Saccharomyces cerevisiae S288C: one gene and its partner. The protein of the gene in region 1 interacts with the protein of each later gene in a biochemical or structural test. Each region holds a gene or a part of one and is shown on either strand. Other genes may lie near its edges.

Region 1 (7,309 bases):
GCATTCGTAATGTCTGCCCATTCTGCTATTCTGTATACACCCGCAGAGTACTGCAATTTGACTGTATTACCAATGTCAGCAAATTTTCTGTCTTCGAAGAGTAAAAAATTGTACTTGGCGGATAATGCCTTTAGCGGCTTAACTGTGCCCTCCATGGAAAAATCAGTCAAGATATCCACATGTGTTTTTAGTAAACAAATTTTGGGACCTAATGCTTCAACTAACTCCAGTAATTCCTTGGTGGTACGAACATCCAATGAAGCACACAAGTTTGTTTGCTTTTCGTGCATGATATTAAATAGCTTGGCAGCAACAGGACTAGGATGAGTAGCAGCACGTTCCTTATATGTAGCTTTCGACATGATTTATCTTCGTTTCCTGCAGGTTTTTGTTCTGTGCAGTTGGGTTAAGAATACTGGGCAATTTCATGTTTCTTCAACACCACATATGCGTATATATACCAATCTAAGTCTGTGCTCCTTCCTTCGTTCTTCCTTCTGCTCGGAGATTACCGAATCAAAAAAATTTCAAAGAAACCGGAATCAAAAAAAAGAACAAAAAAAAAAAAGATGAATTGAAAAGCTTTATGGACCCTGAAACCACAGCCACATTAACCTTCTTTGATGGTCAAAACTTATCCTTCACCATAAATATGCCTCGCAAAAAAGGTAATTAACATATATAGAATTACATTATTTATGAAATATCATCACTATCTCTTAGCATCTTTAATCCTTTTCTACATCAGATAACTTCGGTTTGTTATCATCGTCTGTATTGTCATCAATTGGCGCAGTAGCCTCAATTTCAACGTCGTTTGACTCTGGTGTTTGTTCATGTGCAGATCCATGAGATGATGAACCGTTGCCCTTCTCAATACTCTTCTTATCAAGTATTAATTGCTGTAGCTTTTTTTCAATATCTGAGTCCTCTACAAATTTATTGAAAATACTCAAAATTTTCAAAAACGTTTCGTTGCTTGTCTTCCCTAGTTTCAAATAATGCAAATAAACATTTGAAATTATTGTTAATATGGATGAAATGAGGATTTTCTGGTCTTCCTGTGTTTCACTCGAATTTAGCAACGGTAGTAATCCGCCCTCAATTAATTCTTCTACCGATTCCATCTCATTAGTTGGAATTTCGATTTTATTGATGAGCGTCTGCTCTAGCGTTACCACTGCAAATTCACTTATCTGCTTACACGGATTGATGCATTGATGTGCCAAAGCTTGAATAATAGCGAATATCTCGTTTTTACGCAGATCGTTATTATCTTCCAGCAAGTGTGATGTTAGTTGAATGGATTTCAATGATAATTCGATCGATTTCTTGTATGGATTCTCCTTATCAATTTTATGACCACTTTCTGTCAATTTCTTGTATTCTATTTCCCAGTGATTTCCAACGGCACCCATTGATGAAATTTCATCTAATAGTCCTAGGACCCACATGAAGTTCTCATTTGTCAAAATATTGCTGTCTGTCTTGATCGATTCATTTAAATATTCAAAAATGCTCTCGCTCTGCTCTTTCATTGCTGTAACTTTTCTTAAAAATTTCCAAAAATTCTCATTTCCTAGTAAAAATCCTCTATAAAACTCTGATTCGGTCAATGAAAATAGTCTCTTCAAAAATTCCTTACCTTGATTAGTTGCAAAAAATTTTTGGGTAAAAATATCCCCCTTTTTTAACAGCTCATCGTTTATTAATTTGGACAAGTACTCCGTCTGATCCGCACATAACGAAATTAACAAAATTTTGTATGTTAGCATTCTACGAACAGTCCTTTTCGTGAGGCCTTTCGTGTGAGAAAGTTGGAAAACTTTTTGAAGTATGAACTTTCCTAATTCTTTCTCCTCTTTGCAAAATAGAAATAATGCAATAGTCAATTCGATGATAAATAAAAGTTCTGCTTCAAAATACCTGGAATTATCTGCGTTTTTCTCAGTTTTGGCGGAGTCTAGTAAAGTTTTTATTAAATCCGCTGTTATATTTGATTCATTTCCAAAGACAGAGGCGGCAATATTACTCGACTTTATGCACTCCATCGCTTTTTTTGAGGATTTGATTTCCTCTTCTGTGGGTTCTTCATCACCTTTTAAATAAGAAGCAAATGTTGATAAGAGACCTTTGCTTTCTTTGCTCTTGTTAATAGAAATTTCAGGAGATGGCTTAGGCAAGTTGCTTAATTTCAGTCTTTTTTGTAAATCAGGGAAAATATCAGGAGACAAAATCAAGTCTTCGTACAATGTTAGTATAATATTAACAATGTTTAACCATAATTCCTTGGAGAAAATTTTAGGATCTTTGTTCCTGCGAATAATCCGGAAAAAAACAACTGTATTTAGTTGACCCTTAAATGATCTACCAAATCTAACAGCATCTGTACTAACCGGGATCTCAGTGTTAGTGTCTTCGAATTTAATTTGCACCAGTGGCATTGGGCCATATTCAAAAGCTAAAGTTGAAAGTTCATCGTCATGGCTTGAATTAATCAAAGTAGTGCCCTTAGCAATGGAGTTTAGTATATCATTAAAGAGATCTTTGAAGTCAAAAAATGCGGAAATATAGGAACATTTGTCCAAACTTGTTATCATTCTGGTAGATATATGGTCATCAGATGCAACTACGTAAATGTTGAATAAAGTACTGACAATACTTGGGCCAACTTGTTTAAAAATTGCTCTATCAAAGTTCAAAAGCTCCAAGGGTGTTAATTTATCCATGACAGATTGTGTGTCTTTTTTTATTTCAGTTATAACAGTAGTTGAAGATATCAAGTTATTCCAAGCATCTTCAAACCACTTTTCGTTGCCGTGGTGCTCTTCAGGCATAACAATTTCTTTATCTCTGATTGAACAGTAAATTCTATCCAAATACCAGAATGGGAAGTCTTTGTGATTACAGCATCCCTTTAAGTTACCAGAGTAATCTTCAAATGACATGTGTTCCTTCACTTGAGGGTTATGTAGGTCAGTGTTCAACATAATAATTGAATAACTTAAAATGAAAACAGAATCAGCGTCTGGTTGAACAGTAGAAATGTCATCCTCCGCGTTGTCACTGATTTTGGATGGATCGTAATCTTGATTTTCACAATACGCAGACGAGAAGGCTTCGATGATTCTTTCAATTTGTTGCGATTCACCAGGCAACCTAAATTTCGTCAACAAAATTCTAATAGCTTCATCGACCCTTAACCCTGAAAAATCAAACAAACGAATATATTCATTCAACAAGCTTACTTTGTCCGGATGGCAAAGTAGCAAACCGATTGTTTTTTTATTCATACGGTTGTTATTATTGAAAAGAAACTCCGCAATATCTTTATCGGAGTCGGAAGCAATGAAACCTTTTTCTATTAACATCGGAATACCCTTTTTGGGCTTTTCATTGAATGCATTGGTACATTCAATAAACTCTGTTTTACGGTCCCTCTTTTTTAAGATTTCCATTTCATTCTTTTGCCTGCCAAATTCTTCTCTGTCAATGTCCTTCATGTGATCGAACATATCATCGACTAGGGAGACCAATCCCTCAAGGCAAATGGGTGGTACACTTTCTGTGGTAGTTAAGGCGGATTCTGGTAAGGCCAATTTAGTCAAAGCCTTCAAAAAGTTTATGGAAACGTCTGCCCTATCGAGATTACAATCGAAATTGATAAAAGTAGAAGTAAAAAAAGATGGCGACCTAGTCCATAAGATGGATATTTGCTCAATTAGAAGTTCCTTTATTATTGATGGCTTGTTCTTATTTTCAGAACTCGAGTTATTTGCGGTACCATCATCTAAAAGAATAGAAAATATTCTTGTTAGAGTGAGCTCGATCTGTAATTGTAAGTTGTTGCCCAATATAACAACTAGAGTAGTAAATAGCTGCAATGTAGCTTGAAGTAGTGATAATTTTGTAGTGTTCTGTATGATAAACAAAATGCTTTTGAAAATAGGATCTGATATCAGTGTAAAAAGCCGTGGGTATAGCTGCAATCGATCACCTGAAATTTCTAATGCCGTTTGAATTAACTCTAGGCCAAATATTCTAGTGGAGTATGAATGTTTTAATTCATTTTCTGGCGCAATCAATGATAGTAATAAGTTTAAATATTGCCTAACCACGGGCAATCCATAGTTATCATCAGCATACGCTTGGATCCTGGAATTTGATCTTGTTGTTTTTTGCACAATATCTAGTTGTTCGGCGCCATTTGTGCTCTTCTCTGAATGAATATGCTCTTCTTCAATGCCATCGTCCTCGCTAATAGCTTCCTCATTATTCACTTTCATGCCGATGGGATCTTCTTGACTTCCTTCTTCTTTGGATTCTACATTTGTGCCAATTGTATCGGCCTTCAATACATCATTTGTGTAACTTTCATCATTGATGTATATTTGATTCACATTAACAGGCTCAATAGTCTTTAGTTTTGAGAAAATCTTTACGGTAACGGCTATCATTGTTGATTGTGCAGCATTCCTAAGGACTTCGCTCCTTCTGTTATTACAAGCCAATGAAAGAATCGTTTGCAATACGTCATATATGATAGAGTTTGATAATAAATCTCCGTAAGGTGAGTCGACGATTGAACGCAGTAAAAACACGACTTTCAAAAGAACTGAATCATCAGAAAGTTGTTGAGATCCTTCAAACCTACAATGTGTTAGAGCATTTACCGTCGCCCTGTGTGCACCAATATAGTTTTGCGATGATTCATTGATGATATTCAAGGTAAAGAATTTCTGCAAAGAGTCCAGGGCCAGGGAAGTGATGTAACCAGAAATGGAACTTGTACTCACAATTAATAAAAATGGCTGCAATATGGTTAGTGAATCTATATTATCTAGATTTTTCAGTTTATTCAACATAAGTCTTAACTGAATGAATCCAGATAAAAATGGATCATTGTGCTTGTTGGTATTCAAATTGTTGAATGTGTGAGCCAAGTAGTCATCTTGATTGCTAAATATTTCACTTCCTCCCCCCAGCAAAGCGGCCACTCCAGATTGAGAGGTAAATTTAGAGTATTTCCGCATCGCTGTCGATAAATTAATGCATTCTTTGATTATGATAGTGACGGGATCTACCGTGACGAATTCCCTATCACTCATCTTTCCGCCTCTTCTCTTTCCCTTTAAAAGATTTTTTAGATACTAAATTAATCAGTTTATTGTCTATGGTTTACAAGCAGTGAAAGAATTTAAATTCAACGTAATATGTAGGTTGGTGTGTTTATTATTTAAACGCCAATGTAGGTGCTCTTTCGACACTTATTGAAGGTTCTCGCAATGAACCGCGTAGTATTTTTCAAGTCGGGTAATGAAATATATAAGAACACTTCTAATACTTTATGAAAATAAGTGCTAAATATGGTTTACCTCTTATGCCAATATAAACTATAAAAGAACTTAAAAACATCAAATCTTTAGCAGAGGAGTCCTTTCCGTTTGAAATTGTTGTTTATTACTTTATTTGCGGTTCGCCACACTGCCTAAAACCTGCAGTTTCCTGTAAATGTTGCTGGTATATTATCAGTATGAGCCGGCCGGATATTTCCCTTATTTAATGAAAGAAGTTTTTTTGAAGTCAACTTCTAGTGTTTGTCTTCCATTTTAACGATCAGGAGTCGTCATTCCAATTTTTTGCCTAGAAAAGATTCATGCTTTTAGGAAAATAGTGGAAAACCAAACATACATCAATTGACGCTTCAAGTATGGTACTTAAAAGATAATGTTAATATTTATTATCCTGTTAATTAGTCTTTCTTCGTCTTCTGAAAAATGTTACTTGGAATATTTAATGTTATGAAATTATGGTAATGGCCCTCCTGTTGTCTATTGAGGTGTCTGGGTGTGTTTGTCACATTCAATATACTGTTAAACCGCCACAAATTAATGTACTTCAGACAGATGTAGTAAAATAACAGCAAACAGGTGATGTAACTTATAAAAAATAATACACTAACATAATATCCATTAGATGGATAGCTTCAATTATATTCATGGAAAATATAAAAAAAATGGGACGGGAGGCGACAGAAGTATAAATCCATCCTCACATTCATCGTCTGGCAAGAATATCATTCTTTGTTTTGATGGAACAAGAGAAAATTTTGGACCTCAGCCATTCACTAATATTTTAAAATTGTACAACCTTCTTGAGAACGGTGATAGTTCTGAACAAATTTGTTATTACCAACCTGGAATTGGTTCAGTTGGATTTGACGCTGTTGTTGATGTCAGAAGACGGTTAACTATTTCTCACTTACAAAATTTATTAGATTCTATGTTCGCATTCAGTTTAGACAATCACATATGTTCTGCATATCTTTTTTTGATGAAGTATTTTGAACCAGGAGATAGAATTTATATGTTTGGCTTTTCTAGAGGAGCTTTTATTGCAAGAGTTCTTGCTGGAATGATTGAAAGAGTCGGACTTTTGAGTAAAGGTTTGGAAGAAATGGTTAAAATGGCATGGCAAATCTATGAAAAATGGGAATACGATTCGCAGCCTAATGAATTACAGTACACAAGTACCTTGGCTGAAGAATTCAAGAAAACATTCTCTAGGGATTACGAGGTAAAGATACATTTTCAAGGCTTATTCGATTCTGTGAACTCAGTTGGAATATTAAGGGACAGGTTGTTTCCTTGCACCCAGAGAAGCAATATCGTTGAGCATGTTCGACATTGCGTATCCTTGGATGAAAGACGTGGAAAATTCAAGCAGTTATGTTTCACTCCGATGCCGTACATTCCGAAACTATTTTCATTGACATATTGTAATCATATAACTGACCAGTGTTCGCCGGTGCCAACTTCTAATGCATTAATGCGTGATCTAACCCCGGAAAATCCTTTGATAAAATACACTTTAAAAAGTGGCGCACATTCTATTAGTAATCCTTCTCCACTCATTCCTGATAACCCTGGAAGGTTGTTATCGAGCAAAAGCGAGGAAACTACAGAGTTGCTGTTGGACCTGAACTCATTCTTAGAAGGTAATTCATACGCGAGAGATACAGAATGTTCAACAAGAGGAATTGAAGCCATTTTCCAACTTCAATCTATCCAAGGCAGCGGTACATCAAGTAGAATGACTATGACACCCGACTTGATTGAAAAATGGTTTCCAGGTGATCATTCTGACGTTGGTGGAGGTTGGGCGCCTGACTGTGAGACAGAAGAGAACTTGTCAAATTTAACGCTGCGATGGATTTTAGCAGAGGCAATCAAATTTGGTGTTAAATTCAAACCTGGTGCAATACATGATTTCGCTACCAAACACACTTCGATTGGATCTTTATTCGCAG
Region 2 (2,815 bases), on another chromosome or scaffold:
AACTTTATAGAATCAGTGAAAAATCGGTGAGAAAGTTTTTAGAAATTGCTCTTTTCAAATATCGTAAGGCAAGACTGGAGCCAGGTACTGCTATTGGTGCTATTGGTGCTCAATCCATTGGTGAACCAGGTACACAAATGACATTGAAGACCTTTCATTTTGCAGGTGTGGCTTCCATGAATGTTACATTAGGTGTTCCTCGTATCAAAGAAATTATCAATGCTTCCAAGGTCATTTCTACACCTATTATAAATGCTGTATTAGTAAATGATAACGATGAAAGGGCTGCTAGGGTTGTTAAAGGTAGAGTGGAAAAGACACTGCTATCTGACGTAGCTTTCTATGTCCAAGATGTTTACAAAGACAACTTGTCTTTCATTCAAGTGCGTATTGATTTAGGTACGATTGATAAACTACAATTGGAGTTGACCATAGAAGATATCGCGGTTGCTATAACCAGGGCTTCTAAATTGAAAATACAAGCCTCTGATGTCAATATTATTGGTAAAGATCGAATTGCAATCAACGTATTCCCAGAAGGGTACAAAGCAAAATCGATATCTACATCTGCGAAAGAACCAAGTGAGAATGATGTTTTTTACCGAATGCAACAGTTACGTCGTGCGCTTCCTGATGTTGTTGTTAAAGGTTTACCTGATATTTCTCGTGCGGTTATTAATATTCGCGATGACGGCAAGAGGGAATTATTGGTTGAAGGTTACGGCCTGCGAGATGTGATGTGTACAGATGGTGTCATTGGTTCTAGAACTACAACTAACCATGTTTTAGAAGTCTTTTCCGTTTTGGGTATCGAAGCTGCAAGATATAGCATTATTAGAGAAATTAACTATACCATGAGTAATCACGGTATGAGTGTCGATCCACGTCATATCCAACTATTAGGTGATGTGATGACATATAAGGGTGAAGTGTTGGGTATTACAAGATTTGGTTTGAGTAAAATGAGGGACTCTGTTTTGCAGCTAGCCTCCTTCGAAAAGACAACTGACCATTTATTCGATGCGGCCTTTTATATGAAAAAGGACGCTGTTGAAGGTGTTTCTGAATGTATTATTTTGGGTCAAACGATGTCGATCGGTACCGGTTCCTTTAAAGTTGTTAAAGGTACTAATATATCTGAAAAGGATCTGGTTCCTAAGCGATGTCTATTTGAAAGTCTCTCAAATGAGGCAGCTTTAAAAGCGAACTAAAGTAGTCGTTTTTAAACTTTTTTATAGCATTTGTATTATTTTTCTACCACAGTCATTTAACGTATTTATACATATAAAACTACATGATAAAAACCATGAAACAAAATTTACTTATAAGAAATTTGCTTTCTTCACATTAGTAGAACCAGCGTATCGTTTTCAAAAACTCGCGTCAACGTTTTGAGACCAAAAATGCTAAATATTTTGGAATCTGGTATGCACTCACAAGCTGAGAGTGAAGACCTCATGCCATAAAAGAAAACATACACCGGTTATAAAGTTGGAAGATAAACAATTATGTCCTCTACACATAGTAATAATGTAGGACATCCCCAATCTTCTCCACAAGGTCCACTAACGGAACAACAAAGAGCACAACAGCAATATCAAATTTTTGAGAATTCATTACCAAAAGTAAGTCAATCTGTGTATCAGATGCTGTTGAACGAGATGGTTCCTCTAGCTATGGGCATTGAGAGGCAAATATCAGGCGATGTTATCAGTTCTGATAGCAATGTAACTTCCGAAAATGGTAACATCAACAATATGATAAAGAGACTGAAGATAGAGGAACATCATACAGTAGATATCATACGTTCTCATAACTTGATACATGAGCTGTATAAGGCGGATGAAGAGGAAAAAGAAAAGGTTTTAGCAAGACTGAGGAATATTGGGTTTCAAATCGGATTGAAGCTGTCAGAGTTATTGATATTTTCTAACAACCCAAATTTAAAATTCAAGGAAATGGACCTTCTATTAATAATGAAGTTCATTTGTAGGGATGTCTGGAAACAAATATTTGGTAAACAGATCGATAATTTAAAAACAAACCACAGAGGAACCTTTTACCTTCTTGATTATGACTATCGACCTATTCAATCATTTTCTTTGGAGGAAGATGCAAAAAACGAGGAGTTAAAAATGATAGAACCGTTTTTGGAGATACCTGTGGGAATTATTAGAGGCGTGTTGTCTTCCTTAGGTTATTCATCTGAAGAGGTCATTTGCTTGGCGTCTTTTATCGACAGGCCAACAGATAGGCCTAAAACAGCTTTTCCCAAGGGAGTTAGCTTCCATGTTCAAGTCACAATGCCGCAGTAAAGGTCCGACAGATTTTTGTTCTAAGAATGTACATCGACATATAGATAGATATAAGTGTGTATATAAAAGAACAGGTGACTCCGTTTTCAAAATAATACCCTTACTATAAAATCTTGACAATAATTTCTTTGATCAAGGTACATATAGTCTTTATGATAGTGAAGTGCTTTCGTGGACTCTTCTTAAAGCCCTAAAAGTCTATTGTCATTTCTTTTTTAGTAGGTACGTCATGGGAAGAATATTATTTGGTTGTGTATTTGTATCGTGATTCGCTGCTGTAAGATAGGACTCACTTCTGAGACCAAACTTTGACATGATATCCATGTTTTTTTGTAATATTTGTATCTCGTTATCCATCATTTCCTCAAATTTTGCCCTCCATACCTGTAATTTTTTTCTAATTTCTAGTTTCTGGTCATAGTCAACCTCTTCGTTCCAAGCATACCGGCATTCTTTGCACATTTGTTGAAACCTTTTCATATAATCATAAAGGTAATTTT

Evidence for each region.
Region 2: the proteins of GEA2 (region 1) and TRS33 form a complex in vitro, tested with the Saccharomyces cerevisiae proteins (one study listed by BioGRID).

The regions. Positions count from the first base shown.
Region 1 is NC_001137.3:109,220-116,528, reverse strand, and holds GEA2 (Arf family guanine nucleotide exchange factor GEA2), read right to left. Parts: upstream 5,109-7,309; coding exon 729-5,108; downstream 1-728. Other genes in the region: URA3 (orotidine-5'-phosphate decarboxylase), read right to left, coding at 1-362; YEL023C (uncharacterized protein), read left to right, coding at 5,977-7,309. UniProt on the Saccharomyces cerevisiae protein: Activates the ARF proteins by exchanging bound GDP for free GTP. Plays a role in maintaining mitochondrial morphology. Stimulates DRS2 flippase activity.
Region 2 is NC_001147.6:538,159-540,973, reverse strand, and holds TRS33 (Trs33p), read left to right. Parts: upstream 1-1,508; coding exon 1,509-2,315; downstream 2,316-2,815. Other genes in the region: DNA-directed RNA polymerase III core subunit RPO31, read left to right, coding at 1-1,211; mitochondrial HMG-box protein CIM1, read right to left, coding at 2,520-2,815.